4 linked regions of the Cricetulus griseus genome follow. The protein of the gene in region 4 purifies or fractionates together with the protein of the main gene of each other region. This does not show direct contact. Links are inferred from orthologs where the notes say so. Each region holds a gene or a part of one and is shown on either strand. Other genes may lie near its edges. The genes, in order: Stx4, heparan sulfate 2-O-sulfotransferase 1, Stx12 and Slc7a1.

Region 1 (7,709 bases), on a different chromosome or scaffold from region 4:
TTCATTTCCCACTCCCCCTCTGGCCAGGTCTGTCTGCTGTACAGGTATTCAGCAAGAAACTCAACAAAACCAACACACTAAGGACAGACCCTAGAGCCGGTCTGGCTTCAAATCCTAAGGGCACTTACTAGATATGTAACCTTGGGTATATCAGTTCAAGTTTTCTGTTCTGGAAAAGAAAGACAGCGACAGTGCCTCTATCTCATAGAATTGTCATGTGGCTTGCAATGCTTTTCTTTTTCCTAGATTTTCTTGTAGCCCAAGCAGACCTCAAACTCATTATGTAATTTAGGATGATCTTGAACTTCTGATTCTCTTGGCTCCACTTCCTGAGTGCTGGGATTACAAATGGGTATCACTGTCCTGGTTTATGTGGGACTAGGGGAAAACCCAGGACTTCATGCTTGTTCTCTGTGCGCTGCCAGCTAAGCTACCACACACAGCCCTTGTTTTGTTTCTTCAGACGAGGTTTCATGTAACCTCCATTTGCCTCAAAGTTGGTAAGTAATTGAAGCTGGCCTTGAACTCCTCATCCTCCTGATGCTACTTCTCAAGTACTGGGATTATGGGCATGTGTTACCATGCCAAGCTCAATGAATTAAAATTATAAAATGTTTATATTGGTGCCTCACAGATATATTAAATGTTATACAAATATTAAATGCAAAAGAAAGAATTCCATTCATTCATGACTAGCTAGTTAGTATGTGCCAGGTACTGTTGTGGATACTGGGGACTCAGCAGTGAATAAGGCAGGTGAAAACTCCTGTCCTCTAAAGTTTATATTCTAGAGGTAAGCAAAATATAGGGCCTGAGAGGTGCTGGTGGAAACAGAAGAGATATACAGGATTGGCAAAACTGCTGCCTGAGCACCTGGTGCACAGTGGGGCTCGGAAGGAAGATCCTGGACAATCGGCAGAGTGGAATTTCTGGCACAGACTTTGGGCTACTGAAATCCTCAGTGGAACAGTCTCCACCATCATCACCATCTAGCAATAGCAAGCACACTCGACAGCCACAGTGGGCACCATTCTATTCTTGTTTCTTATTTAATACTTATCAAACACTAGGAGTTTAATGCTATTGCTCTCCTTTCCTTTTCAGATGGGAACTAAAGCAGAGAGGTTAAATGACTTGCCTCATAGAGCTGAATGAGCAGGAATCCCAGCCCAGGTCATCTGGTGCTGGGGTTGGGAGGATCAGACCTGAGGCAGTGAGGACAGGACAGGCTGCTAGCCTCAGGACCATGGACAGCTTGAGTTTCAGACAGAACGGAAGAAGTATATACTCTACTAATACTTACACACCCAAGACCCACTATATAAACCTGGGACTCAAGGCTACAAAGGGCCTAGGCGGAACACAGCATTCAGCGGAGGCAAACATCACTCCACTTGGGGGCTGTCAGCATCATGAGACCTTGACAGTCAGAAAATACTGAGGTCCCAGTGTCCTAAACCTTAAGTTATCATCTTAATACCTGTGATCACACCCAGAGACCACAAATGAAATAATAGTGAATATTATAAGCCTGAGATGCTTTAATAGAAGCACCAAAAACTCCACACTGCCGCTGGAGGCCAAGAGGCTGGGAAATGGGCAGGTATGATTGAAAGGCAGAGAGAGAGAGAGAGAGAGAGAGAGATAGAGAGAGAGAGAGAGAGAGAGAGAGGCAGAACTCACAAGCTCACAGCAGCAAAGCTCACATAAGAGCTTTAACAGTCTACAAGACCTACCACATCTTTCCTAACCTTTCTTGATGTCCTCCAATCCTTACCCTAAGCAAGGAAGAAACTGTCAGACCAAGATGTCAAGAGGGAAAATTGCATCTCTGAGGGAAACAGTGAGACATTCTCGATCACATACAGGGCTAGGAGACAGGCTAAGGTCACCTCCCGACTCGCCCCCCCTTGTAATACTAACAGAGAGTCAGAGGGAGGGGATGAGTAGGAGGGAAGTAGCAATTGAACAGGGAGGCAGCAGTTAATAGGCAAAGATACCCTTGCAGAATTCATGTTTTGGTTTGTTTTGGGGGGTTCCCCAGGGGCATGGACAAACTGAAGACTTCCATTTGGGGGCTGACAGCATCATGACACCTTGAAAGTCAGGCCCCACAGTAGGCACTTTTCTCCACATTATTTTCAGGGGACCACACTAGGCAGAGCTGGGCCTCCTGAGAAGCCCACCAACACCGCATCCCTCTGCGGGGTGGTCAGGGCCATATTATCCTCACCCCCTCATTTCCAAATCCAGGAGTTTCTAAAGGGAAAAGCATCACAGCCCCACAAGTGCATGGGGTTTTAGTCTGTTGGCTTCTGATGTGTCACCAGCCCCTAAAACATATCTGCTCTATAGTATGTGCCCAATAAATATGTCCAGAGAGACAAACCTGGGGAAATGGGACGGTGAGAGAAGCCACAGGCTTTAGTTTCAGATACATGAAAGGCTCCTATTCGGATCAAGGCTGTGAGGGCCTATTATGTAGCAAGCTCTGAATTTGGTGCTGGGGACTCCGTAAAAGAAAAGCAAGTCATGCTAGGACTTCAGGGCTGCGGAGGTAACAATACATTCCTCTCAGTCTGAGCTGCTCTGAAATCTGAAGGTGGCGAGCTCAGCGGGACTGCAGTGCTCACACAGGGCGTAGGCCGCCCACCTGTCAGAGGCTGTGCCAGGAGGACGCAGGGTGTGTAGGGGGAAGAGTTCCACCTTGGCTGAGGTCACTTCCCACCCCCAGATTGTCTGCCTACAAAACCCTGCAATCCTCTGACGCTGTAGCCTCCGATCTCATTATGTTCTGACTCTCAAGGTCTCGTGATACTGACAGCCCCCAAATTTAAGTCTTCAGATCGCCCACGCCCTAGGGCCCCAAATTAAAACAGAAAGTGAAGTCTACAAGGGTCTCCTCTGTAGGTGGCTGAGAGCTGTCGGTGTACCCCTCCCCACCTTCTGCAAGGGGTACAGCTCAGACTCAGGGGTATCGGGGACGTCGCGAGACTGAAGTCCGAGACGTCGCTGACAGCGCCGGGACACGTGACCGGCTGTCGGGCGTGCAGCCGGCGGAGCGGGGCCAGGTCTGTCACGTGATGAGGGGGCGCCATGGGGTGATGTGAGATACGAGGCTCTCAGACTGCGTGCAAATGACGCATCCCCAACCCTTTGGGCAACTAGATTCCAGTCCCAATATGAGATGTTCCGGTAGAAAGGGGGGGGGGGCGGACGGGCTCTCGATCCAGGCGGCCTCGCTTCCGTTCGGCCGCGACTGCTTCCGACCTCCGCCTTTTCCCCCTAGCGAGGAAGAGACAAGACCTCGTGCGCATGCTCCGAGTCATCCTCCCGAGGGGCGGGGCTGCGGCTGCGGGAGCAGGATGGGGGGAAGAGAAGGGAATTCCAACCTGTAGAACTTTGGGGGTCCTATGGTCGGGTTCTCCCCGGCGACTGTGCATGGTGAAAGGGGCGGGACCTCTGGGGGCTCGTGGGGGCGTTGGGGGTTCGCAGGGTGAGGAAGGGGGTGTCAAGTGAGAGAGAGCTCGTGCAGGACTTCCAAACTTAGAACCTTGAGGCCCTCGGGGCTCAGGTCCAGGGACCGGGCGCTCGGGCCGCCATGCGCGACAGGACCCATGAGCTGAGGCAGGTGAGGAGCTGGGGCCCGGCGGGCGCGCAGGACTGAGGACTCCTGGTTTGGGGTCCGGGAGGGGTGGCTGACGGCCAGGAAGGAAAATCCCGGAAGCCCATAGCTCCTGCGGGGCGAGAACCGCGGCGAGCGAGTGGTGCCAATGACTCCGGCCCTGGCAGGGGGACAACAGCTCGGACGACGAAGATGAGGCTCGAGTCGCGCTGGTGGTGCACCCAGGTACCGCCCGGCTGGGCAGCCCAGATGACGAGTTCTTCCAGAAGGTAAGGCCCGGAGGACCGAGCAGTAGGGAGGACTACAGTACCACTTATGTCTTCAGTTCCCTTGGTGATCCTCTCTAGGTCCAGGCAATTCGGCAAACTATGGCCAAACTGGAGAGTAAAGTCCGGGAGTTGGAGAAACAGCAGGTCACCATTCTGGCCACGCCCCTTCCCGAGGAGAGTAAGCGAAACCCGGGTTCACGTACGCCAGCCCGGTGGATTATGGGGGATGTAGTCCTATATAGATGTTGGCCGGGGGTGGGGTTGGTTTTGGTTTGTGGTGGAGGCTGTGGTTTGGAAGTGTTGGCCTTCTCTCATTTAGGCATGAAGCAGGGCCTGCAGAACCTGCGCGAGGAGATCAAACAGCTGGGGAGAGAGGTCCGGGCACAGCTAAAAGGTGAATGAACTTCAAGGGCCTCAGCCAGATCATCCCCAGTGATTCAGCCCTGATGCTCGTGTATCTGGGGAGTCAAGTGATATATCAGGTCACAGAGCAGGTCTGGGTCTAGGATCTCTGCCCTGTGGCATCTAAGCCTTGGTACTTTGCATATATTACATGCTGGCCTCTCAGATTCCTTTATTACTATTTTTACATCTAAATTCAAAACTACTTGCTGCTACAGTTCTTGAAGCCCAGTGTGTGTTCTTTGAGCAGATGGATGAGGGTTTCTTAGGAGGCTCCTTCACTCTTGTGGGAACCCACTGATGTAATACAAAGAAAAACTTCTCTTAGAAGATCAGAATTAGCCTCCTCCTCCCCCTCCCTCACCTCTTCCTCCTATGTAGACCAGGCTGGCCTCAAATTCACAGAGATCCATCTTTCCCTGCCTTTTGAATGCTGAGATTAAAGGCCTGCCGTAACCAGGTCCAGTTGGCTGATCTCACCCCCTTCTTCCTTCTTTCTTCTTCCTCCTAGTTCCTTCTTTTTTCCTCCTCCTCCCCCTTCCTCCTCCATCATGTGTCACTACTAAAATATATCCCTGCTCATAAGTCACTTTGTAAAAAAAAATCCTACGAAGACAAGAACTTCCTTATTATGTGGCTGGAATGTAGATGTGGCCCTGTATTCTGGTACCCAAACAATTTTTTTTGATTCATTTAAAATTTTTTATTATGTATTTTCAATTTTTTAATTATTTTTTGAGACTCAGTAGGTAGATCAGGCTAGCCCAGACAGAAATCAGTTAGCCTCCCAGCCAATTTTTAGAAGTCTCAGGGCAAGCTTTTCTTTCCATCAACCCTCGTATTTCTCCCACAGCCATAGAGCCTCAGAAGGAAGAAGCTGATGAGAATTATAACTCAGTCAACACAAGAATGAAAAAAACCCAGGTTGGTTTCATTTTCCTAGAACTAGGACATTTCATCAAGTGTTTCTTAGATTACTAACTGGTGACTGGGCAACCCTTACAGACCGTTGAATCTGGGATCTCTGTCCTGATGAATTTCCTTTATGCTTATTTGGTCTAGGTAGAGGATCCCAGTCACAAAATTCTCAATCCATTATAACACCATGCCACCGCCATTCAAAGAGAATTTGCTATGTCAGACATGACTCTGTCCTGGCTATGAGAGACATATTTTCCCAAAACTGAAATGGGGAATTTGGACTGAAAAGGGAACAAAGATATTTCTCATGTAGGACTTGGTCACTAATAGCTTTGTTCAGGGAAGAAGAGAGAGAAATAAAAAATGGTAATTAAGAGCACTGGTTGCTCTTCCAGAGGCCCCAGATTTAATTTCCAGCACCCACATGGCAGCTCACAACCATCTGTAACTCCAGTTCCAGGGGATCTAACACTCTCACATAGACATACATGTAGGTAAAACACCAATGCACATAAATCAAAGAATAATAATAAGAGCCAAGTGTGAAGGCAGAGGCAGGCGGATCTCTGAGTTCGAGGCCAGCCTGATCTACAGAGAAACCCTGTCTTGAATAACCAAAAATAAATAAATAAATGATAAATAAATGTAAGTTAAAATGACAAGCAAGGACATCCTTGGCCCCATAGATAGAATTTAAGAGATGGCGAGGGGCTGCAAGACGGATCAGTGGGTAAAGGTGTCTGCTTCTAAGCTTTATAACCCAATTCAGCCCCAGGTCCATGGGGTGCAGAGAACTGACTCCTGGGAGTTGTCCTCTGATTTCTACACATGTGCCATGGCACACATGCCCTGCCCCGTGCATACACAGTAAAGACATATATTAACGTATGATGTAGGGACTGGAGAGATGGCTTAGCACACACCACTTTTGCAGAGGAACTGAATTCAGCTGTTCCCAGCTGTGACCTATGTCAGGTGGCTCACAACCATCTGTAACTCCAGCTCTAGGAAGAGGCCCTCCACCTCCTTGGATACCACAGATGAAGGCACATAATAAAATATATTTTTAAGAACATTTGTAGCCGGGCGTTGGTGGCGCACGCCTTTAATCCCAGCACTCGGGAGGCATAGGCAGGCGGATCTCTGTGAGTTCCAGGCCAGCCTGGTCTCCAGAGTGAGTGCCAGGATAGGCTCCAAAGCTACACAGAGAAACCCTGTCTTGAAAAACAAAAACAAACAAACAAACAAAAAGAACATTTGTAAAAGGAAGAAGAGGAATTCTGGTGGAGAAGAAGTCATGCCAGGCAGTGTCTGAGTGAGGAGATTTCACGTGACTTGACTGGGCCCCTCTGGTGCATGGTGAAGAGTGCTTGGGATTTATGGAGGTCAGGTTTGGAGTAGGTAGGCATCTTGAAAGGGCGCAGGAGTGGGGATTCAGGAGAATAAGCTTATTTAAGGAATCAGGAGAGGGATGGGGGATAATGCACCATAAGAGTGGACCTGTGGTAGCTGTGGTATGAGAACATCTTGTTGTTCCATGCCAGTAGCGTGGTGCCATTGCAGTCCATGAGTGTACCTGCAGTCTAAACAGCAATGCTGCTCTTCAGAAGCTTTCAGCAGATGCACACTGAGTACCAGTGTGCCAGACTTTTAAACTAAAAATTCTACCGTTAAGATGTTTACATTCTAGTGAGGCAAGACAGTCACCAAATAAGTGTTTTACTTTTTGTTTATTTGAGTCAAGATCTCACTGCGCTGGAACTCACTATGCTGAGGTATCCTTGATTCTGCCTTCCAGTGCTGTAATTAAAGGAGTTGGCCACCCCACCAGGCTTACAAAACAGCATAAAAAGAGGGAAAGTGCTGGCCCGGGGAAGGAGTGTAATTTAAATGAGGGGAAGAGTAGAGCTGAGTGGTAGAGTTTGTGCTTAGCACGCATGAAGCCCTGGTGTCAATCACTAATACTCAGAAAGTATGTGTTTGTTTCTGTGAGTGTGAGTGTGTGTGTGTGTGTGTGTGTGTGTGTGTGTGTGTGCGTGTGTGCACATGCACACCACGGTACTCATGTTGAGGTCTAAGGAATAGGCTTTCCTCCTCCTAGGTGGGGTCTGTCTGCGTCTGCTGCTGCACTAGGAGTCTCTTACCTCTGCCTCCCATCTCACTTGAGGCATGCTGGGATTACAGTGGCACACCACCGCATCTGGCTTTTTACCTGGGTCTGGGATCATTGAAAGTCGGTTGTCATGCTTTCGCAACTAGCATTTTTACAGGCTCAGCCATCTCCCTAGTCCCACCCACCCCCAAATAAATTTAAACAATAAGTAAGGGCTGGGGGTGTCAATCAGTTATTATAGTGCTTGGCTAGCATACACAGGGCCCCAGGTTAGATTTCCACTACTACGTAATGCAGCTCCCTATTGCTGCACACCTATAATAATAGTAGGCCAGCCTGGGCTACATGGGACCCAGTCTCAAACCAAAGAATAGTAGTA
Region 2 (6,811 bases), on a different chromosome or scaffold from region 4:
GCTTTCTGGCCTGTTGTACATAGTTCCTTGAGCCATAGTCTTCATGAAAATTGGGGTATAACAGATAAGTGGAGACATAACATGTATTTGCTAGCTTCCCTGCCTCCCACCCCCAATAAAGCCACTTTTTAAAAGTAGGCTTCAGGCAGGAAATCTAAATCAGACTGTCTTAGTTTCTTGTCCTATTGCTGTGACGAAATACCCCGATGAAAGCGACTTAAGGAAGAAAGGATTTACTTGACTCACAGCTCCAGACCAGAGCCCCTCACTTCAGGGGAGTCAAGGTAGCAGAGACTGAAAGTATCACTCCAGTGTGTCTTTAGTCAACTGCAGAGAATAATTAACTAATGCATGCATACTTGCTTTCAGCTCACTTTCTCTATTTTCAGTAAATAGTATTTTCCCCTTCCCTTTCTTCTCTCGAGACCCTCCATGTACCTGTCCCCTCCTTTTCAGCATAGTCAACAGGCTTTCTTATGTCACTCATGCAACAGAGGGAATCTCCCCTAAGAATAGCCGCAGGCCAACCTGATTTAAACACACCTTTAATCACAGCACTTGGGAGGCAGAAGCAGGAAGATCTCTATGAATTCAAGGCAGCCTGATCTACATAGTGAGATCCTGTTTGTTTCTATTGCTGTAAAAAGATATCATGACCATGGAAACTCTTACAAAGAAAAACATTTAATTGGGGAAAAGGCAAAAAGCAGCCACATTCTTCACCAAAATATCATAATCTCTAGGCCACACATTAATATTCTTCTCTGAAACCTCTTGAGTCTGCCCCCAACCGTTCAAATCACTCTCAGCACCACTTGTCCTCTGCAGCTCTTACTAGAGTGGCCCATTAGGCAGCACTTAAAGCGTTCAACTGCTTTATCCAAAGTCCACATTCCTCCAAACAAAAGCATGGTCAGGCCTATCACAGCAATATCCCAGTACCTGATACCAGTTTCTGTCTTAGCATTTCTACTGCTGTGAAGAGACACCATGACCAAAGCAACTCTTACAAAGGAAAACATTTAGTTGAGGCTGGCTTACCTCTAAATTTCAGAGGTTTAGTCCATTATCATCCACACCCTTACACAGTCCGTCTAGCGAAATGCCTAAGTAATGGAATGGTCAAGGCCAAAGTTTTCCACTTATACAAATTAAACACACATAAGGAAATTTCTGGGAAATGCTGAAGTGCTATCTCACCTGTGTCATGAAATAAGTGACCTTGTCTCTATGTTCACCAGTGCTGTGTCTTTAGTACTTCTGTCAGCCCCAATCACAATCTTCAAAACAACACTACACACACACTAACTCTGCTAACAGTTTGTGTAGCACCATAGCGTGTTCTGAAATGCATTTGCACGTGGCATGACCTTTTCTAGCCCCCACCATAGTTGAGCAGGAATGGAATATAAAAACTACATGAAGCTTGTTATGGAACTGAACATGACACTTGCAGATGAGTGTGTCCCCTTCCTGAGAGCTGGTTATTAACAAGGCAGTGTATAGAACTCTGTTTCAGAAAGTTTCCAACCTGCCATGCTGGTCCCACAACCGCTTCAGCCCCAAATAAACATACAGACACTATATTAATTAAACTGTTGGCCGATGGCTAGGGCTTCTTATTGGCTAGCTCTGTCTTAATTATTAACCCATTTTTATTAATCTATGTATTTCCATGTGGTCTTATCTTACCTGAGAAGGGTCTGGACCTCTAACTCCTTTGGCAGCTCACATGGCAAGTGACTCTGCCTACCCTTCCCAGAATTCTCATCTCCTAGTCCCACCTATCTCCCTGCCTCTATTGGCCACAGTGTTTTATTCATCAACCAATAAGAGAAACATATACACAGAAGGACATTCTCCCATCAGAACTCAAAAGACAGGAAATGACTTTCAGCCCGAGGAGTAACTGGAAGGCTGGACCTCATGAAACCTTCACTGGTAGAATCAGTCTACCGAGGAAGAACATTCCAGTAAAGTTACAGAGATTTGGGGTACTGGGATATACTTAAGAGCCCATAGAACTGATGTGGCATGGGTGGATGCTCCTGGTCAAAAGCAAGCAGGACTAGTGTGTTGAGAGCCTACCAGGAAGCACTCCTGGAAGGTGGGACAGCGAGTGGGGCCATGTTGGTGTTTCTCACCAGACGTCATAAACAACAGCTGCAGAGGATGTATGGATGGTCGTCAGCTGCCATGTGGGTGATGGGAACTGAACAGGTCCTCTGCAAGAACAAGTGCTCTTAACCACTGATCCATCTGCCCCACCCCCATATATCCACAGGTCTCATCCCACCCACTTGTACTCATTTACTTGGTAACTTGTTACATTAAAAGTTTTGCCCTGGAGAGGTGAGTCAGTGGGTAAAGCTCTTGCCATGCCATGCAAGGACCTGAGTCCAGTTTCCTAGACCCCGTGTGAAGGTGGGCACAGTAGTGCACATCTGTGCTTGCAGTGTCCTGTGGCGAGATGGGAACTGAAGACAGAACATTACCGAAATCTCGTGACAGGTAGCCTAACACTCTCAGAGATGAGCAAAAGACCCTGTCTCCAACAAGACGTAAGGCAAGGACTGACAGCCAGGGTTGTTCTGACCTTCATACAGACACCATGGCATGTGCGCACCTACACTCACAAACAGGCATACAGAGATTAAAAATCTGTCTCTTACCCTGAGGCGTGGTTTATGGCTAATGGTGCTCTTTTTATCTTTGCTGCAGACCTTTGATGAATGTGTGGCTGAGGGCGGCTCAGACTGTGCTCCGGAGAAGCTCTGGCTCCAGATCCCATTTTTCTGTGGCCACAGCTCAGAATGCTGGTAGGAATACAAACTTCACTATGGTGGTAGTCTTCCATCTCTCTGCAATCCATATCTCACGGGCAGGAATGTGGTAGTCAGGACTAGGATTTTACTTCTAATAAAAAATTTCCCCAAGAACATTCTGTGTTCAAGTTTTTAAAATAATTTTACATTATTTATTTATTGTGGTCAGACATTTGCTTTAAGGCATTAAGGGACTCTGCACATGCTTGGCAAGGGCTGGGTCACTGGACTGCCTACCCAACTCTTCAGCCAGCCTGAACTTGAGATTCTCCTGCCTTGGGTTCTCTGGTACAGGTATGCACTGCCATATCTGGCTATTCATTCATTTTGATAGGAAATGCAGAAGCAGAAAATCCATTCAAAATTAGTATTTTTCTCAAAGTGAAATCCAAAGTCGTTCTTGATCATTTGAGCCATATAGGTTGACATAAAGTCGAGGACCTGCTTGTAGACTGCTGCAAAGCATCATGTAGAAAAACAATTGAGGAGAGAAGGAATGGGGGTGAAGGGACGGAGAGGGAGAGGGACTTACATGTGAAACAAGCCTGTTCCCTAACTTGAATTAATAATAATAATAATAATAATAATAATAATAATTTAAAAAGAATATCAAAAAAAGAAAAACAATTGAAAGCATTGGAAGATGTCTTTTCAGGTTTTAGCCATTTCCTCTGAAAAGGAACCCAGTCCTATGGCCCAAATTATGTTTGAGCACGTGTTCTTTGTAAATAAAGCTTGATTAGAACACAGCCACTATTGTGGGTGCATTTACTGTCTGCTGAGATAGCAGAGGGGAATTATTGTTATTTAAACCGTCTAGTCTACAAGGCCTATAATATTTACTCTTTGCCTCTTACAGAAGAAGTTTGCCAGGCCCTGCTTTTGAATAGTAAAAAATATTGCTTAGTTGAGTTTTAATTAGAGAGGGTAATCCATGTATTTCACACACAATGAAATATTTTGGGGAGACCTTAGAAACCAACCAATCCCCATCCTCCTCCCCTCCAAGGTTTTTTAGAGATAGAATTTCTTGTAGCGCAGGCTGACCTTGAACTCTTGACCCTCCTGTCTCCACCTCCAAGTGCCAAGACACTAGTTATGTACTGTCACACCCAGTTTCTTGGTCTGTGATTTTGCCTTTCCTTTAATAGTTGAGAAGACAAGAAGAAGTGAAGCCAACACAGGGTCACACTGGCACTTAAAATGCAGAGCTAGAGCAAAGCAGAAAGAATGTCAGTGCTAATTAGATCCCAGAGGTATAGTCTATTTAAGATCAGACCTGTTAATGCCTTAGCTGACACTGTAAACAGAAAGATTTCTAGTACAGCTATTTCTTACCTATTTTTTGTTTCTCCGCATGTCACGAAACACTAAAGCTTATGGAAAGAAAAGAAACAGAGCTTACAAATTAAGATAAACACTAAACAAAAATTGCTATGACTTTCCCATAGGGGCTCTCAGAATGAACAAAGTTTTGGAGTAGTTTTAAAACATGGATGCACACAGAAGTCAAAAAAGAGACTATATGATACAGATGTGTATATTTAAAGCTGTCCTTGAAGTCTGTTCTCATTGAGAACCTGTGGTAGCGTCTGAGTGGCTACATGTAGGGAGCAGAAGCTGGGGACGTGGAAGTAAGGAAGTTGGAAATGTTACGCCTTCGTAAGACGCCGCTGCAGGGGGGGTTGAAGCTGCGCTGAGCGCGTTCACCTCCCTGCTTCCTCCATAACACAGAGGGTCAGAAGCATGAGCACACTTAGCCTGTTTCACAGCCCGTGTTCAATTCCTTTTGTGTGGTTTCAGGAATGTGGGAAGCAGATGGGCTATGGATCAAGCTAAGTATAACCTAATTAACGAGTACTTTCTGGTGGGAGTTACTGAGGAGCTGGAAGACTTCATCATGCTACTCGAGGCAGCTTTGCCCCGGTTTTTCCGGGGTGCTACAGACCTCTATCGTACAGGTATGGACAGGATAGGTTTCTTTCTAAAGCGTTTGTTTGTTTGTTTGTTTGTTTGTTTACAAGTTGACTGAGTAATAAACTAGACTATACTTCTAGACTGGTTCGATGGGAGTGCTAAACACAGGAACAGCCGTCGTGTGCTAAGTCTGCTGTAGTTTATCTGAAAGTGTCCTTCCAGACCTTTGTGAGTCAGTCCAACCCTGATGGTGTTTCATTTGTTTAAAAGCATGCCATCACTCGACTCTCCCTGAAGTTTACATCTGCCCCAAGTCCTCCATGACTGCAGCACATACAGGAAAGAGGCAGTGTCTGTGTGCTCTGCAACAATTATTTACTTTTCTTATTTTCCCATTGTAAGTAGGAAAGAAATCCCACCTGAGGAAAACCACAGAGAAGAAACTTCCCACCAAGCAAACCATCGCGAAGCTGCAGCAGTCTGACATTTGGAAAATGGAAAATGAGTTCTACGAGTTTGCACTAGAGCAGTTCCAGTTCATCAGAGCCCACGCTGTCCGTGAGAAAGATGGAGACCTCTACATCCTGGCCCAGAACTTTTTCTATGAAAAGATTTACCCGAAGTCGAACTGAGTGAAAGTGTGACCAGAGCAGTCTTGAACCTGGACTTGGCTGTGTTGTCACCGTTGTTCTCAGCTTCTGCACCTGTTCTGCTAATCGAGTCCAAGCCGAGCCAGTTCTTGTTGGGCCGAGTTGGGGAACAGACAGGAGTGTCAAGAAATTAGATGCTGAATGGGATGTCAGTGTTCTAAGGAGTTCTTAAGTGTGATGAATTGTTATTTCTTTTGTTACTTTGTTTTCATTTTCATGATAGCTATAATCTCCCAGTGAGGAGAAATCTCATGTCACTTAAATTACACACATGGAGGTTTAATCAGAAGGCTGAATACCATTTCAGAAGAGGTTCTGTGATTCTCTTGCTTTTGATGAAGCATTTTTTTCACCTCTCTTTGGATGCAGATGAGTCTGTATGGCACTTGGAGTTTTGTGTTGCACACCCCTACTGGATAGTGCTAATAACTATTTGCCAGTAGCTGATTTGTTTATGTGGATCATGTCTCACAGAGTTTATTGGAATGTTTGATCATGTTTTCTCAGAACTGTTTTTGCTGTAGTTGAGTTTGCCCATATTTATGTAGGCTTTATTTTATTTTTTGGATGATCATTAGTGTTAAAGAAATCAACTGAAAACCATGAATAATACTGTAAAAAGACAAAACAGTTAAAAGCAGTATTCCTGATTTCTGTCTCCCCAGTATCTAATATTGGGGTGGTATTTCTAAGAATGTTGACAACATTATCTGAGGCTTTCTTAAGGATTTCCACACATTCATATAAAAAAAATGAGTTTAGTATTTGTTTCTCCATGGCTTCTCTATAACCCAGTACACTGAAGTATCGGTGACTGCATATGGCAACTCCATCAGTGAGCTGTGATGGTAGGATTTTCCTACCTCTGTACTTTTACCTGTAGACTATTTTTACTACGGTGCTTTATAATGTGTTTTAAAGCATTGCATTTACAAAAGAAAAATGCTGTAAATATTGCATATTTTATGTATTTGGACCAAAAAGTTACAAGTCAGTAGATAAAAAGTGGTTTTGCACCAATTTTATTATGTCGAGTAAATTCATCAGACTATTCTTGTATTTCTCATTTAACTTTGCTGTTATGATGTCTCTGACATGAACTAACCTAGCCTTTCAATTTTGAGAGAGAGCATTACTCAGCCTGAGGCAATAGTGATAATGGAAAGGGTACTAGACAGTCTAAACATTTGATCTCTGGTTTCAGCTCTCTACCTTCCAGTGGTGTGGCGTCAGGCAAGTCACTTAACCTCTCTTTGCCTCGGTTTCCTCATCTTGAGTTGAGGATACTAATGCCTACTGTGCCTACCTCACAGAGCTGTTGTGAGGACTACGGTGGCATGGTGAGAGCACTTTGGAATTGTCAAGTGGTGTTTAAATGGAAGTATCACTAACATAAGTTTCATACTGTCCATTCTTTTA
Region 3 (7,765 bases), on a different chromosome or scaffold from region 4:
TCCTGGAACTCACTCTGTAGACCAGGCTGGTCTCAAAGTCACATACAGAGATCCGCCTGCCTCTGCCTCCCAAGTGCTGGGATTAAAGGTGTGTGCCACCAATGCCCAGCTTCTCTGTGTTGTTGTGTGCACATAAATACACAGGTTCATGAGCTAGTATGTGCACATTCAGAGGATGTAGAATTTCTTCTCTTGCTCTCTGCATTAATGCCTTGAGCTGGAATTTCTCACTGAATTGGAATTTCTCTGCTATGCCTAGGTTGGCTGAGTAGTGAAATCTGAGGACCCATATGTATCTGCTCCCCAGTGCCTGGAGACAGGCATGTGCAGCTATGCCCAGCTTTTCTTTTCTTTTAAATTTTTTATTTTGAGATTTGGTTTTTGTTTTGGTTTGTGTGTGTGTGTTTGTGTGTGTGTGTGTGTGTGTGTGTGTGTGGTGTGTGTGTGTGTGTGTGTGTGTGTAGCCCTGACTGTCCTGGAACTAGTTCTATAGTTCAGGCTGTTCTCGAACTCATAGAGATCCACCTGCCTCTGCCTCCAGAGGGCTGAGATCAAAGCCTCCATGTGCCCCCCCTCTTTTAAAGACACTGTCTTGTTATGCATTCCTGACTGGCCTAGAACTCTCTGCCTCTGAAGGGCTGGGCTTATAGGTTTGTTCTTCCATGCCCAGCAAATACCCTGTCTTCTGCACGCTAGGTTAGTGCTCTGCCACTGATTAACTTTCACAGGCCTAATCTGTCCCTTTGTATACAAGGGGAAATACTGTCATAAGTGAATTCCAACTAAAAATAGAGATAGCCTTGCTTTAAAATCTCTAGAGGTGGGGGGTGGAGAGAATGGCCCAGGAGTTAAGAGCACTGGCTGCTCTTCCAGAGAACCTGGGTTCAATTCCCAGCACCCACATGGCAGCTCACAACTATCTATAACTCAAGTTCCAAGGGATCTGACACCTTCACATCAATGCACATAACATAAAGCTAAATAAATTATTTTAAAAATCCCTAGAGGTGGAGACAGGCTCATTCACACGTTTGGAATCCCTGCTGCTGCTCACAAGCTGCTTCCTCTCTTCTCGTTTCTGAGACTATAGCATGCTGGAGTTGGTGGGGTGGAGAATGCAGGCAACTCCTGGCCCCTTCATGTCTGGTCCTCAGGTCCCTTCAGTGCAAAGTCCCGTCCATGTTCCCCCTTTCACCACATGCCACCCACAAAATGAAGTTCTATGAAATCATTTTGCAGCTAGATTCCAAAGTGCTCAAATTTTCAGGAGTTATCTAAGAAATTGTTTGGGATCTCGGAGGCAGGTAGATATAATCTATGAGTTTGAGGGCAGCCTGGTCTACATAAGGAGTTCCAGGCTAGCCAAGGCTACCTGTTAGAAATGAGCAGACTTTTTGGAAGGAACTTCCACAGATAATGAACTTGGGATAACAGCAATGATGTTCTAAAAAAACATTTAAAAATTAATTGCATTTTAGTGTGTGTGTGTGTGTGTGTGTGTGTGTGTGTGTGTGTGTGTGTGTGTGCGTGTGCCTGTGTCTGTGTTGCTTGGCACAACAGGTAGAGGAGACCAGAGGACAATTTGCTGGTGTCTCCTTCTCCATGTAGACCCATGGGATTGAACTCAGGTCTTCAGGTTTGACAGCAAGTGCCTTTGTCCTGCTAAGCTATCTGTCTCCCCAGCCCTGGGAATGAGTTTTATGGAAGTTGTGAGATAGAGTTAGCTTAGTGTTTGGGTTTCCAATTAAACATCAAAGTGATCAATACTCTTTGGTCTTAATTTTCTCACCTGTAAAAGGGAAAATAATGCTTGCTTTTCTATGTTATATTACATTTAAAAAAATCTACTTTAGAGCCTGGAGAGATGGCTTAGCCGTTGGGAGAACTGACTGCCTTTACAAAGGATCCAGGTTCAATTCCCAGCACCCACTGTCTGTAACTCCAGTTCCAGGGAACCTAACACCCTCACCCATACATATATGCAGGCAAAATACCGATGCACATAAAACAAAAATAAATTAATTTTTTTTTCGTTTTTCGAGACAGGGTTTCTCTGTGGCTTTGGAGTCTGTCCTGGAACTAGCTCTTGTAGACCAGGCTGGTCTCGAACTCACAGAGATCTGCCTGCCTCTGCCTCCCAAGTGCTGGGATTAAAGGCGTGCGCCACCAATGCCCGGCTAAAAAAAAATTAATTTTTAAAATCTACTTTATAGATAAAAATGAGATGCTTCCTTGCTGTGAAGTGTTTATGAACCAGTGACCTAAAGTGAGGATTCACACACAGTATGTGCCCAACAAATGTTACTAGTTTATTGCTTAAATTAGGATTGGAGGGAGGAATAAAAGTAGTTTGCAATCCGTAAGAGTTGCTAATTGGCTACAGATCTGAAGCTCAAGATTGCTTAATTTCCCATATTTGAGTCTGGGTTCTCAGAACAGAACAGAATAGGAAGTAGGGTTGAGGAAATCTCATACACTTTTATGCAAATCGAAAATTCTTGCATGCTGTCAGCGGACTCTGGGGAGACACAAGATGACTGGGAAAACGTATTCAATGGGCTCCCAGCTATTTGATGTCATTTGCCCTGTCTAGCATCCCCCAAATCTGGAGGGACCAGGGATGAACTTTTCCCATAACCTTTTGAATCAGGAAGCCCTTTCCCCCCTTTCACACCATGGGAGTTGGGCAGTCATCTGCTACAGCAGGAGGGGCTCTGTGGTAGTGGAGGTTAGAGAAGGCTTCCCAGTTTTTGTAGGTGTGGTGTGCACCTTGTAAGTTGGTGGGCTGTCAATCAAATGCGACCCGGCGGGCAACACCTATCTCATGACTGAATTCCGCAGGAAGGGAATGTTATTGACAGTGTTCCAGATTCCCTTGAAGTAAGCAAGCATGGAGTACACCATGTTGGCCGTATACTTCCGCAGTAATTTTATCCTTGTCAGAAGTTTAGGTGTTGGACAGTTTTCACCATAGAATCCTGTCCGGGTACAATCGCATTTGTACCGGTCCGATCCCACGCTCATGCATTCACCTCGGTTTTGACACGGGTTGGAAAAGCAAAGATTTGCAGGGTGGCTAAGCGCCAATGCTGCGCCCAGCAGCAGGATGCGGACCGGCATCTAGGCGGGCGGCACGTGGCCGAGCGCGGGGCTCTGCGGGGACACGCTCTGCCAGCAGTTTGAAAACTCTCAAGTGACAGCGGCGCACGCGCACCACGGGAGCGGGGGGTGGGGTGGGGAGGGGCAGAGCGTGCGCGTGCGCGTGCGCATTGTCAGTGGGCGGGGTCAGTGCGCACGCAGTCGCCGCTCCTTTCCCCCCCGCCCCCCGCCCTTTCTCTTCCCGGTTTTCCTCTCAGCTGCGGAGCCTGGCTACTGGCAGCTTCCGGTAGGAGCGCCGCGAAGCGCGACCCGGTCTCTGCTCGTTGTCGATGTCCTACGGTCCCTTAGACATGTATCGGAATCCCGGGCCCTCGGGGCCCCAGCTCCGGGACTTCAACAGCATCATCCAGACGTGCAGTGGCAACATCCAGCGGATCAGTCAAGCCAGTGAGCGAGGGGACCCAGCTGGGAGCGGGGGGCCGCGGGGGGCGACCCGAGGGACAGGCCTGGCTGAGGTCGCCACGACGCGGAGCCCGGTCAGGGTCGCAGCCAGGGCCACAGCCGAGGCCGTCGAGAGCCTCCACTCCGGGCGCGGCGAGCTGCCTTCGGCGGGTCGGTCAGGCTCGGGCCCTTCAGGTCCACACCCCTGTCTCAGGCATTGTGATTTCACGGTGTTGGGTCAACAGAGCCTACTTGACAGCCCGAGGGTGGGAGGGAGTGTGTGTCATCTCCAGGACTGTGAGCAACAGTCTTGACTTGACGCAGTGGTCAGCCGAATTTTCCCTGTCATCGCCGTCTCTCCACCCACCTCGCTTTCCACAGTTTGGATCAGGGGTTGCTTGCTGGTTAAGGGCTTTTAGGTTCACATTCTGCTCAGCGGTTGGGTCCTGGGACATCAGCAACTTTCAATTAAGGGAAGTGGCGAATGCGTGTGTTTGGGTGACTTAATACACTGTGCTTCCTGTAATTAATTTGGAAATCAGAGTCAGTGACTGGTATTTAAGGGGTGGGAGGACTCCTGTTTTGTTAGAGAATGCACCGGGAACATTTTAATTTACGTTGTCTTTTGTAGCAAAGAAGTATTTATTTTTTTAAATTTCAAGCATGATATTTCGTTTTTTGTCTCAGTTGAGCTATTCTTGTATAAATCTGATACACAGAGACGCTTGGCTACAACTACATACCGAGTGAGTATGTAGTCTGTAACTGCTTGCCTTAAAACTCACTCCTCACCATTAGAGTCTAAGATTGTAGCTGAGAGTCAAATACAGGCTGTTTCTAGAGATTCAGAATCAGCCTAGAGCCTTGTGAACAGAACAACAGAGGCAGCTTTACTTTAAAAAAAAAAAAAAAAAGGTGACAACTATCTGTGTTATTGTGTTTTAGAGAGCTTAACTATACTGTTAGGGTCAGTTCTGAATTACAATTATGTTCTACACTTTAAAGCAGTCACTTTGCATTGCTTTTATTTTACTTTTGAGACAGAATTTCTCTAGCTCTGTCTGTCATGGAATTCACTTATTTGTAGACCAGGCTGGCCTTGAACTCAGAGATCCACCTGCCTCTGCCTCCCGAGTGCTAGGATTAAAGTCGTGTACTACCAAACTCAGCTTGTCACTTTGCTTTTAAATCTAAATGTAAATTGTAGAATTTGAGAGGTAGGTTTCTGGTGAGGGTAGGGTTAGGAGTAGGTGTTTGGTGGTAGGAAGAACATTCAGCTTGTGAAACCCAGATATTAAAAACAACAATAATGTGATCGATGCTTAGAAAGTATGGTACTTTGTGTTCCAGTTCTCATTTGTCAAGGAGCAGGAATACAGGTTAGATCAGAAAATCCTGGTTCAAGGGGCAGGCAAGATGGCTCAGGGGTAAAGTGCTTGCTCTGCTTTGCTCCCCAGAGCCCATGTAAAGGTGGAAGGGACAAATTAACTGCACAAAGTTGTACTCTGCCCTCCACACTCTTACCTGCAAGTGTACTGTGTGTGTTTGCATTAGTTTGTATGTATGTTCCACATTTACACTCAAAAATAATAAATAAAAATTTTTAAAATTTTGTGCTGGGTGGTGGTGGCATACCCTCTAATCCCAGCACTCAGGAGGCAGAAGCAGGCAGATCTCTGTGAGTTTGAGGCCAGCCTGGTCTACAGAGTTACTTCCATGACAGCCAGGGACACAGAAAGAAATCTTGTCTTGAAAAACAAACAAAACAAAAAAAGAAAGAGAATTTTGTTTCAAGGCTGAAGTTTTCTCACTAAGATTAAACCTAATTTGAATATCTTTCTGTGGAATAGTCTGTATTTAAGTATTAAGCTGTATAGTAAGTGTAGGACCTGGCATAGATTCTTGAGAGCTTGTTTGGAGGTTCTAGCTGAGGAGTGCAGCTACTCGTATACCTTTGACCGAAGACTGTCCTCCTCTATGACCAAGCACGAAGGCAGCTTTGGAAGATGCACACATGGAGCAGTGAGGGAGCCAGTGATTCCTAGCCAGCCAGATCAGCCGAATCAACCCTGGTGATCAATGGGTGACAGATACAGCAGCCAGATCAGCCGAATCAACCCTGGTGATCAATGGGTGACAGATACAGCAGCCAGATCAGCCGAATCAACCCTGGTGATCAATGGGTGACAGATACAGCAGACAGATCAGCCGAATCAACCCTGGTGATCAATGGGTGACAGATACAGCAGCCAGATCAGCCGAATCAACCCTGGTGATCAATGGGTGACAGATACAGCAGCCAGATCAGCCGAATCAACCCTGGTGATCAATGGGTGACAGATGCAGCAGCCAGATCAGCCGAATCAACCCTGGTGATCAATGGGTGACAGATACAGCAGCCAGATCAGCCGAATCAACCCTGGTGATCAATGGGTGACAGATACAGCAGCCAGATCAGCCGAATCAACCCTGGTGATCAATGGGTGACAGATACAGCAGCCAGATCAGCCGAATCAACCCTGGTGATCAATGGGTGACAGATACAGCAGCCAGATCAGCCGAATCAACCCTGGTGATCAATGGGTGACAGATACAGCAGCCAGATCAGCCGAATCAACCCTGGTGATCAATGGGTGACAGATACAGCAGCCAGATCAGCCGAATCAACCCTGGTGATCAATGGGTGACAGATTAGCAGACAGATCGCCCTCACATCCTGGTATAGATTCTTTTAACAGCAAATTTGTGTTTACTTAAATTAGATTTGAAGCTGGGCATAGCAGTAATTGTAGTGTTTGGGAGTGTGAGGCTGGAGGATTGCCATTATTTAGGCAAATCTAAACTGCATAGTGAGTTCAAGGCAAGCCTGGGCCATATAATGAGACCCTTATCAAAAGGAAAACAGGAGAGGGAAGGGGAACAGGGAAAAGCCAAAACCTAGGTATGATGAGTCAGGGCTGTAACCCCATCTCTCAGGAGGCTGAGGCAAGACAATTTCCACGAGTTCAAGGCCAGCCTGAGCTATAGAGTGAGTCTTAAAACCAAACAATAAGAAAAGGTGTGTGTGTGGAAATAAAAGCAGTTTCCTTGTTGATAGATACTGATTTAGCTGTTGATCAGGCATTGGACTCAAGGGGATCATTAGAGTTGACAATTAATGTGTTACTTGCTACTGTTTAAGTACATAGTGTGCTAGGCAGTATGAAAAGTACATGTGATATCTTTTTTTTTTTTTTTTCCAAGACAGGGTTTCTCTGTGTCTGTCCTGGAACTCACTCTGTTGACCAGAATGGCCTTGAACTCAGAGATCTCGTAGCCTCTATCTCCTGAGTGATGAGATTAAAGGCTTTACCACTTCCACCTGGGGGGGGGTAATGTAATATTTTAATTCATGTTAACAGTCCTATGAAATCATTACAAATATCCCTGGCCTATGGATTAGGAAACTGACTGAGAAAGTTTAAAGAATTGCCTAGCTGAATGTGTATATGTCTGTATGTGTGTACTGGAAGCTGTGGTTTCTTGTAATATGTTCATCTTCCCTGCTAGATTGTTAGCTCGTTTGAGCTAGGAAACGTGGCTTATTCATCTTTATTTTTCTACTATTTACCTCAGTCCCAAGCATATATGATGGGTTTATTCATTCAGGGTGGACAAGCATTCTTTAAGCGCTTCTGTCCACTGGATAGAGCAAAGCATGAATTGCTGCCTGGTGCCGTGTGGATGTTTGCATGCATTTGCATGTGTTCATACAAGTGATATCAAGTAGTAGCAGGTGCTTGACAGAAAGAAAGCAGGTGTAGAGGGAAGGGAGAAGGGACAGATGATAAGCTGGCGAGGAAGGCCTCTCTGGGGGGAAGATGATTGAGTGAGCAGATACCAGAATGGAGGGAGGGAGCTTTGTGAGCAGCCGAGAAAGGTAATGTGTGCTGAGGGCAGGTCTAAGGACTTTGATGTGATAAAATGGCAGGGAGGCAGGTGTGGCTGGGTTAAGGATAAGGGAGCAAAGCAGAAGTCAGACAGATAGGCGGGGCACGCCCCATAGACTCTTAAAGCTTACTACTAGTGAGTGAGTGAGGCCCCTCTGTCGTTTTGGACTCCTGCCTCTTTCTCTTTGAATGCTGTGCTATCTTACTTATACATCCTAGGTAGTATAACTTAAATTTCTTCTCTTGGGATTGCTGTGTGGGAATTAGGAATTTGAAATTGGTAGGTGGTGTTGTGT
Region 4 (7,015 bases):
CCTGCCTCTGACTCTGGCCTCTCCAACCAGGGCCCCCATCTTTGATGACTGTATTGTTGGCCTTCAGTTTGGCTGTAAGGCAGAAGCTCCTTTGAGTAAAGGAGTGGGTGCCTTTTAATGAGACACATAACCCCGAACACATGCACACACATATGTGTGCATGCACACACACACACACACACACACACACACACACACACACACAGTGCTTCCCCACCAGCTTGTGTAAACAGTTTACACATATGTGCAAACAGGAGCTACCTGCACATATGTGCATATGAACATACACACACTGGTGCATGCAAACACACACACATACATTCACATGCATGCACACACACACAATGCTTTCCCTCCAGCTTGTGTAAACAGTTTACACATACACATACTTGTACATGCACACACACACACACACACACACACACACACACACACTCAAACATGCACACATATCTGCATCCACACACATATACTACACACACACACTGCTTCCCCAATGGCTTGTATAAACAGGAACTGTTTGCTAATGCTTGGCCTTAGCCAGGAATGACTGAAGACATAAATGCAAGAGCTCCCTCATGGATGTTGCCCCAGGATCTCATGATCCTTTCTGTTAGGTGCCCCTAGTCTGTTCATTGGTCTTACACCTACTCTGTGAGTTTTGTGAAGCACTGAGTCCCAGAGCCCTGGGTGCCACTGGGTGGTAAGCATTGTGGAGGGAGTGGTTCTTGTTGAAGGCAGACACCTCTCCTTGGCCCTGCCTGGGTCTGCTGAGGCCTTGTTTGCCAGTGACATACGTTTACTCACGTGTTTTTCCCTTTTCTCACCCAGTCTCCTAGGCTCCATGTTTCCCATGCCCCGAGTAATCTACGCCATGGCTGAAGACGGACTACTGTTTAAATATTTGGCCAGAGTCAACAAGAGGACCAAAACACCAGTAATTGCTACACTGACCTCAGGCGCCATTGCTGGTAAAGATTGGAATTTATTTCCGGTGCTACTGTTTGAACAACTAAGCCAGCATTCCTAGCGAGGCATCTTGAAGTTTACCTGTCTGTGGGAACTGTAAAAAAGCCACAACTCATCCATTAGAGCTTTTGAAACTATAGCTTTTTACACTCAGAACCTGGTTCACGAAAATATAACTGCATGAAAAAAAATATTTTTAGGTTTGGCTTACGTGATGGGTGTTTTGCCTGTATGTATGTGCACCCAGTGTGTGATTGGTACCCATGGAAGCCAGAAGAGGGCATCAGATCCCCCAGAACTGGAGTTACAGATGGTTGTGAGCCAACACGTGTGTGCTGGGAACTGAACTTGGGTCCTTTACAAGAGCAGCCAATTCTCTTAACTGCTGAGCTGTCTCTCCACTCCTAGATAACTGTACATTTGATGAAAGACAGTGAAGGCAGGTTTATAGATGATGGGTTGGAGTTATTCTTAGAGTTTAACTCTTACAGTGGTCTCTATAGGCAAAGCTCACAAACACACAACCATTCCTTCAAAGCCACCCATCATCCCTGCCTAGTGTTTCCCTGTGTAGAATTTGGGAGGGTGGCCTCTTGCGTAATCCAAGCCAAAAGTACTCTTGGGTAAACACCAGCAAGTCTAGTGTCCATGCATATTAGCTTATTGATTGCCTGGAGCATGAATGTCCCTCACAGTCATTTTTTTGTAAACATGCACCATCTCTCTCCCAGGAGGCATATACAGGGTTTTGCTGTTTGCCCTCAAATAGTGGTAGACCCAGAGCCAAGGAAGTTTTCTTTTGCCATCATCATGTTCATCCCCAAGAGTGCAGCTGTGGTAGATGAACTAGGTGCACTAAAGGATCTCTAAGCCATCTGATGGGGGTAAGGGGGGTGACCCAGAGGAAGCCCATGTGCATACTTCCTCGTGTCCAGCTGGAGAAGTGGTGGCCTGAAGAGGCCCAGGGTCACACCCAGGAAGGCTGAGCTGCTCTTGATTTCTGTTTGTGTTCATGCCAGAAGCAGTTCCTTGCAGGATCCGACTAGCACCGGGTCTGTTTTTGATCTTTCAGGACACAGGGTACCATACAATTTGTATCTCAGTGTCTTATCAAATGGCTACTAGTAAGACAATGGACCATTTCTACCTACCTACCTACCTATCTATCTACCTATCTATCTTTGGTTTTTTGAGACAGTATCTCTGGGTAGCCTTGACTGTTTTGGAACTCACTATGTAGACCAGGCTGGCCTCAAACTCACAGAGATCTGCCTGCCTCTGCCCCCCTGAGGACTGGGATTAAAGGCATGCCTCACCACCACCTGGCTGACAATTGGCCATCTTAAATGAGCAAATGATTTATTAGTATTCATACCTTAATAAAGTATTTTAGTTTTGTGACTATTATTATATTTAAAAAAAGAAAACAAATTTAAAATTGTTTACCAATAGTTCTGCATGTAATTACCGTAGTAGGTTCTGGGGCATCAGGTCACTGCAGTGACCGAGGACTTTGTTAAGTTCCCACATAATTTGATGTAGTTTCCTTGCTGTGCTCACAAAAGGAGGTCAAACCATGACCTTTTGAGTGGCTGTAAAGGACACACCACTTGCCAAACCAAGAGTTGGTCCATTTTTTCCCCTTTTGGTAGGATTGATATTTGGTGTTCTAAAATCACCTGGCATGGTAGCAGTTTTTTTTTTTTTTTTTTTTTTTTTTTTTTTTTTTTTTTTTTTTTTTTTTTTTCTGTGAGCACGAATGGAGGCGAGGGTGGCATGTGCTATCCAAAAGTGTTCCAATTATATGAAAGGCCTCCACTGCTTCTCTAATCTAACTATTTATTATCAATTTAAATTTGCTTGGCTTGCATTGATCTGGTGGGGCTTCAAAGATGTGTGTGGGAAATGGATAGTTCCATGATTCTGCTTTAATTTGTATTGATTTACATATTATTTGAAAATATCCCAAGTAGATCCTGCCAAATTATTTTTTAAATGGGAAAACTGACATAATATACTGACATAAATAGAACACGGGGAATTTTTAAATAAACACGTGTTTATCATGCCACTAGATCTTGTACGTACTAGGCCAGTGCTCTACCACAGGCCCAGACCTCCCAAGCATGTATGTTCAGTTCTTCTAAAGACCGAAGTCGGGGGGGGGGGGCAGGATGGCAAGGTTTGTTTGGTGACAGGGATAGTACCATTTAGGAATACCTTTGAAACTTTTCACACGTGAGGATAACTGTTTTCCCTACTTACCTGCCTAGAGTAGGAGCTCCTGTGAGTCTTTCCCGAGCAGGCTTCCCATCACCATCATCTCCTGATACACGTATCTTTAGATGATACTCTAGGAGGCCAGACACTGTGGTCTGCCCTCTTCAAGGCTGGGTACCTAGAACTTAGTGACTGGCTGGCTGAATGGATGGATGGTGGATGGAGGAGGAGTGGGTGGTTGAAGGAAGGATGCGTGGATGGATGACTGAAGCATGGATGGATGGAACAAGGATGGATAGATGCATGTGTGAATAGACAAGATGGGGCGCGTTCAGGGTGGTATCGCCATAGACGCATGTATGAATAGAGCATGGATGGAGGGAGGGAGGAATGGTGGATGGGAGAATGGATGGAGGATGGCTGCAGAAACGGAAGAAAGACATGAGCAGATGGAGGATGGGTGGATGGATGGATGGAATACAGATGAATGACCATAGATGGAGGAAGATGAATGGGTGGAAGATAGATGTACAGATGGTCGTGTGGATGTGGCTGTCTGTGAGTCACCAACATGTGGCAGAAGTCACAGTAGGGTCAGAGTTGCAAGAATCTGATGCAGATCCTGGCTCTCCCATCTACTAGCTGTATATCCTTAGCTCAACTTGCTACTTACAGTATTCATCTGTAGTGTTGAGTTGGCTTGAAAAATTATTCCCCCCCAAAAAAAAAAGTATTCTCTATGAAAATTTCTTTTTTTTTTTTAAGATTTATTTATTTATTTATTGTTTTGTGTGCCGTGTTCTGTCTGCGTGCATCCCTGCAGGCCAGAAGAGGGCACCAGATCTCATTACAGATGGTTGTGAGCCACCATGTGGTTGCTGGGAATTGATCTCAGGTCCTCTGGAAGAGCAGCCAGTGCTCTTAACCACTGAGCCATCTCTCCAGCCGGCTCTATGCAAATTTCAATGTTAATTATTTCTACTGTTTCTTGAGCCTGTCTTCACCTGAGCAATGTCTGTCTCCTGGACAATGGCTGAGTGAGGGTGGGACTGGGAGTACCCCGAATTACAGATGTGCGGTCGGGTAGAGGGCCACTTGCAAGCTGATGTCTGTCTTCTCCCCAGCTGTGATGGCCTTCCTCTTTGAATTGAAGGACCTGGTAGACCTCATGTCCATTGGCACGCTCCTGGCTTACTCTTTGGTGGCTGCCTGTGTATTAGTCTTAAGGTATGTATGGCTTTCCTGGGTTCCACGACAAATGTTAAACAACCCTATTATGGCTGGGTTTTTTTTTTTTAACCGTTCTGACAAATGGTTTGTAAGTTTATAAGGTACAATTTTCAGGCCATATTAGCTCTGTTGGGGGCTGCTGAGTAGAAGGTGGGGTGAAGTCAGTGGTTGCCCCCTCCCCCGTTTTGTCGTCTTGTCTCATCCATGTGCTACCCCCCTCCCAGCACACGAGCTGCTTCCTCCTATCATGTCCTCTGTTTCTCTGGCTAAATGTCCTCAACAGCAGCATTGATCTGAATCTGGGATATGAAATTTAGAAGGCTTAGGGCAATGACTTCAGTTGGCCCAATTGTTGGGAAAAATGATCCTGGGGGCTAGCCCTAGATTACATCAGAAGAATCTAAGGCCTATGACCCAGGTCCATGTGGTGCTTCTGTAGCCTGCTTTTACTGGTGCTTGGGAGTGAACCCCATAACATGGTGTGGTGTAGCTTTTGGACACTGGGTTCTAATTGTGTATCTTTTAAAGGCTTTAGGGCTACAGGAGCTTGGTGCCATAGTGTCTCACCCACCCAGAAGTGCCCAAAGCACATGCCTGGGCTCCAACTTTGCTTGGACATGGAGGAACAGAGAGCTCTAAGGCCTTTGTCATGAGAACATGTATTCACAATGACTGTTGTTTGTCACCTGTTATTGGGGTTTTTTACTCTTTACTCTTTTGGCTTTTGAGGGGGCCTGCTACCCAGCTCCCAGATAAATCATACATGGAGTCTTATTCTTTCTTATAAATGCCCAGCCTTAGCTTGGCTTATTTCTAGCCAGTTTTTCTTAAATTATCCCATCTACCTTTTGCCTCTGGGCTTTTCTCTCTCTCTCTCTCTCTCTCTCTCTCTCTCTCTCTCTCTCTCTCTCTCTCTCTCTCTCTCTCTTTTTTTTTTTTTTTACTTCTGTATATCTTACTTTCACCCCGTGGGTGGCTGGCCCCTTCTTTTCTGGCTCCTTGATCTCTCATCCTTTCTTTTTTTCTCATCCTATTTATTCTCTCTGCTTGCCAGTCTGCTTATCCTTTCTCCTGCCTAGCTATTGGCAGGTCAGCTCTTTATTAGACCTATCAGATATTTCAGACAGGCAAAGTAACACAGCTCACAGAGTTAAACAAATGCAACATAAAAGAATGCAACAAATCTTTGCATCATTAAGCAAATGTTCCACAGCATAAAAACAAATGTAACACATCTTAAAATAGTATTCTATAACAGTCACCCAGCCAGAGCTTCCCTCTTTTCAGGTGTTTCTCCTTAGAAGGCAAATAGCTTCATTTTTTTTCAGCATTCAATTTCCATAAAACTTGGACTGGTTCCTACTAGAGATGTTGCAGGCTCAGCTCAGGCAAGTTCATGGACCTCTGTTCAATTCTAGAGGCATAACACCAACATGTTCTTTGAGTTCTACTTTCTTGATTGGCCAAATTACCATGCATTTGTGGGTCTATGGGAAGAACAGTTAGCTATCTCGCTGCATACTCTTCTTGTGCTTGGAATTGATCATCTGCAAAACAAGTCAAAAGGTATTCTGCTTTTAAAAGCTAGTGAGAACCTGTCCAGTTGGAAAGGCAAGGAACCACGTCATATGAATGTATGCTTCATCTGTGGGTAGCTTGTGTCTTGGAAGTCATGCCACAGGCATGGCTGGCTCTGTAGTTACTCCAAGGCACTTAGAGGTTTAGAATAGCTTTGTCCAGTTAGGTCATGCAGACAGAGCTTACCCATCCACCAGTAGTCAATGACTCTCCAGCTTCCTACAGCAAGTGGAATGCCAGTGTTAGCACTTCTTGACTTTGTACTCCCTTTGAGCTCTGGGCAACAAGGGTTTGGTGAGAAGTGCCCTAACATTGTCATATTCAAGGGCTACTGCTACTTCTTTGATCAAGAGAACCTCTCTGGGACATTTCATTGGACCACTTCCCAATGGTTTCCCTATTCTACCCAAAGTGAAGACACCACGGTTGAGTATTGGCCTGAGAAGGAAGGACTTGATCTGTCCTTTGTTCTTGTATTGCTAAATACTGCACCATTCTACCCATTTATGTCCAGTGTCTCAGGCACCTTATCTTTAAAGGCTCATTGAGAACTTAATCTGATCTTTGTTTTTGTGGGGGAGGGGTATAGACAGTGTTCCTCTGTGTGACGACAGCCTTGGCTGCCTGAAACTCACTTGTAGACCAGCCTGGCCTCAAAGTCACAAGAGGTCCACCTCCCTCTGCCTCCTGAGTGCTGGGATTAAAGGTGTGTGTGTGTCTTTTCTTTATTTATTTTTCTTTTTGACTTTTTTTTGAGACAGGGTTGTAATCCTAGCCGTCCTGGAACTGGCTCTGTAGACCAGGCTGGCCTTGAACTCACTGAGACCCACCTTCAATTTTATTTATATTTGTTTTTATTATTTTATTATATTTATTACTTTACGTGTATTTTGCCTGCATGTCCATCTGTTCACTTTGTGTGCTGGTGCTTGAGGAGGTGATGAGCCTCCATGTGGGGCTGGGAATGGAAACAAGAGCAGATAACAGCACTCATGCTGTGGGCATGTCTTTACAGGTA

Evidence for each region.
Region 1: the proteins of Slc7a1 (region 4) and Stx4 purify together in Homo sapiens (co-immunoprecipitation; 3 studies listed by BioGRID and IntAct, counting the BioPlex papers as one, with this or other methods). This does not show direct contact. The link is inferred for Cricetulus griseus from reciprocal best matches to the Homo sapiens genes SLC7A1 and STX4.
Region 2: the proteins of Slc7a1 (region 4) and heparan sulfate 2-O-sulfotransferase 1 purify together in Homo sapiens (co-immunoprecipitation; 3 studies listed by BioGRID and IntAct, counting the BioPlex papers as one, with this or other methods). This does not show direct contact. The link is inferred for Cricetulus griseus from reciprocal best matches to the Homo sapiens genes SLC7A1 and HS2ST1.
Region 3: the proteins of Slc7a1 (region 4) and Stx12 purify together in Homo sapiens (co-immunoprecipitation; 3 studies listed by BioGRID and IntAct, counting the BioPlex papers as one, with this or other methods). This does not show direct contact. The link is inferred for Cricetulus griseus from reciprocal best matches to the Homo sapiens genes SLC7A1 and STX12.

What each region holds. Positions count from the first base shown.
Region 1 is NC_048596.1:72,931,232-72,938,940, reverse strand, and holds the start of Stx4 (syntaxin-4), read left to right. Parts: upstream 1-3,470; 5' UTR 3,471-3,601; coding exon 3,602-3,631; intron 3,632-3,792; coding exon 3,793-3,894; intron 3,895-3,950; exon of another isoform or gene 3,951-3,972; coding exon 3,973-4,072; intron 4,073-4,213; coding exon 4,214-4,288; intron 4,289-5,149; coding exon 5,150-5,220; intron 5,221-7,709. UniProt on the Homo sapiens protein: Plasma membrane t-SNARE that mediates docking of transport vesicles. Necessary for the translocation of SLC2A4 from intracellular vesicles to the plasma membrane.
Region 2 is NW_023276806.1:14,689,671-14,696,481, forward strand, and holds part of heparan sulfate 2-O-sulfotransferase 1, read left to right. Parts: intron 1-2,721; coding exon 2,722-2,819; intron 2,820-4,628; coding exon 4,629-4,786; intron 4,787-5,144; coding exon 5,145-5,374; 3' UTR 5,375-6,811. UniProt on the Homo sapiens protein: Catalyzes the transfer of a sulfo group from 3'-phospho-5'-adenylyl sulfate (PAPS) to the 2-OH position of iduronic acid (IdoA) or glucuronic acid (GlcA) within the heparan sulfate (HS) chain and participates in HS biosynthesis.
Region 3 is NC_048595.1:20,381,270-20,389,034, forward strand, and holds the start of Stx12 (syntaxin-12), read left to right. Parts: upstream 1-3,317; 5' UTR 3,318-3,428; coding exon 3,429-3,546; exon of another isoform or gene 3,547-4,060; intron 4,061-5,492; exon of another isoform or gene 5,493-5,733; intron 5,734-7,765. UniProt on the Homo sapiens protein: SNARE promoting fusion of transport vesicles with target membranes. Together with SNARE STX6, promotes movement of vesicles from endosomes to the cell membrane, and may therefore function in the endocytic recycling pathway.
Region 4 is NC_048597.1:84,184,137-84,191,151, reverse strand, and holds part of Slc7a1 (high affinity cationic amino acid transporter 1), read left to right. Parts: intron 1-831; coding exon 832-971; intron 972-4,313; coding exon 4,314-4,416; intron 4,417-7,012; coding exon 7,013-7,015. UniProt on the Homo sapiens protein: High-affinity, low capacity permease involved in the transport of the cationic amino acids (arginine, lysine and ornithine) in non-hepatic tissues.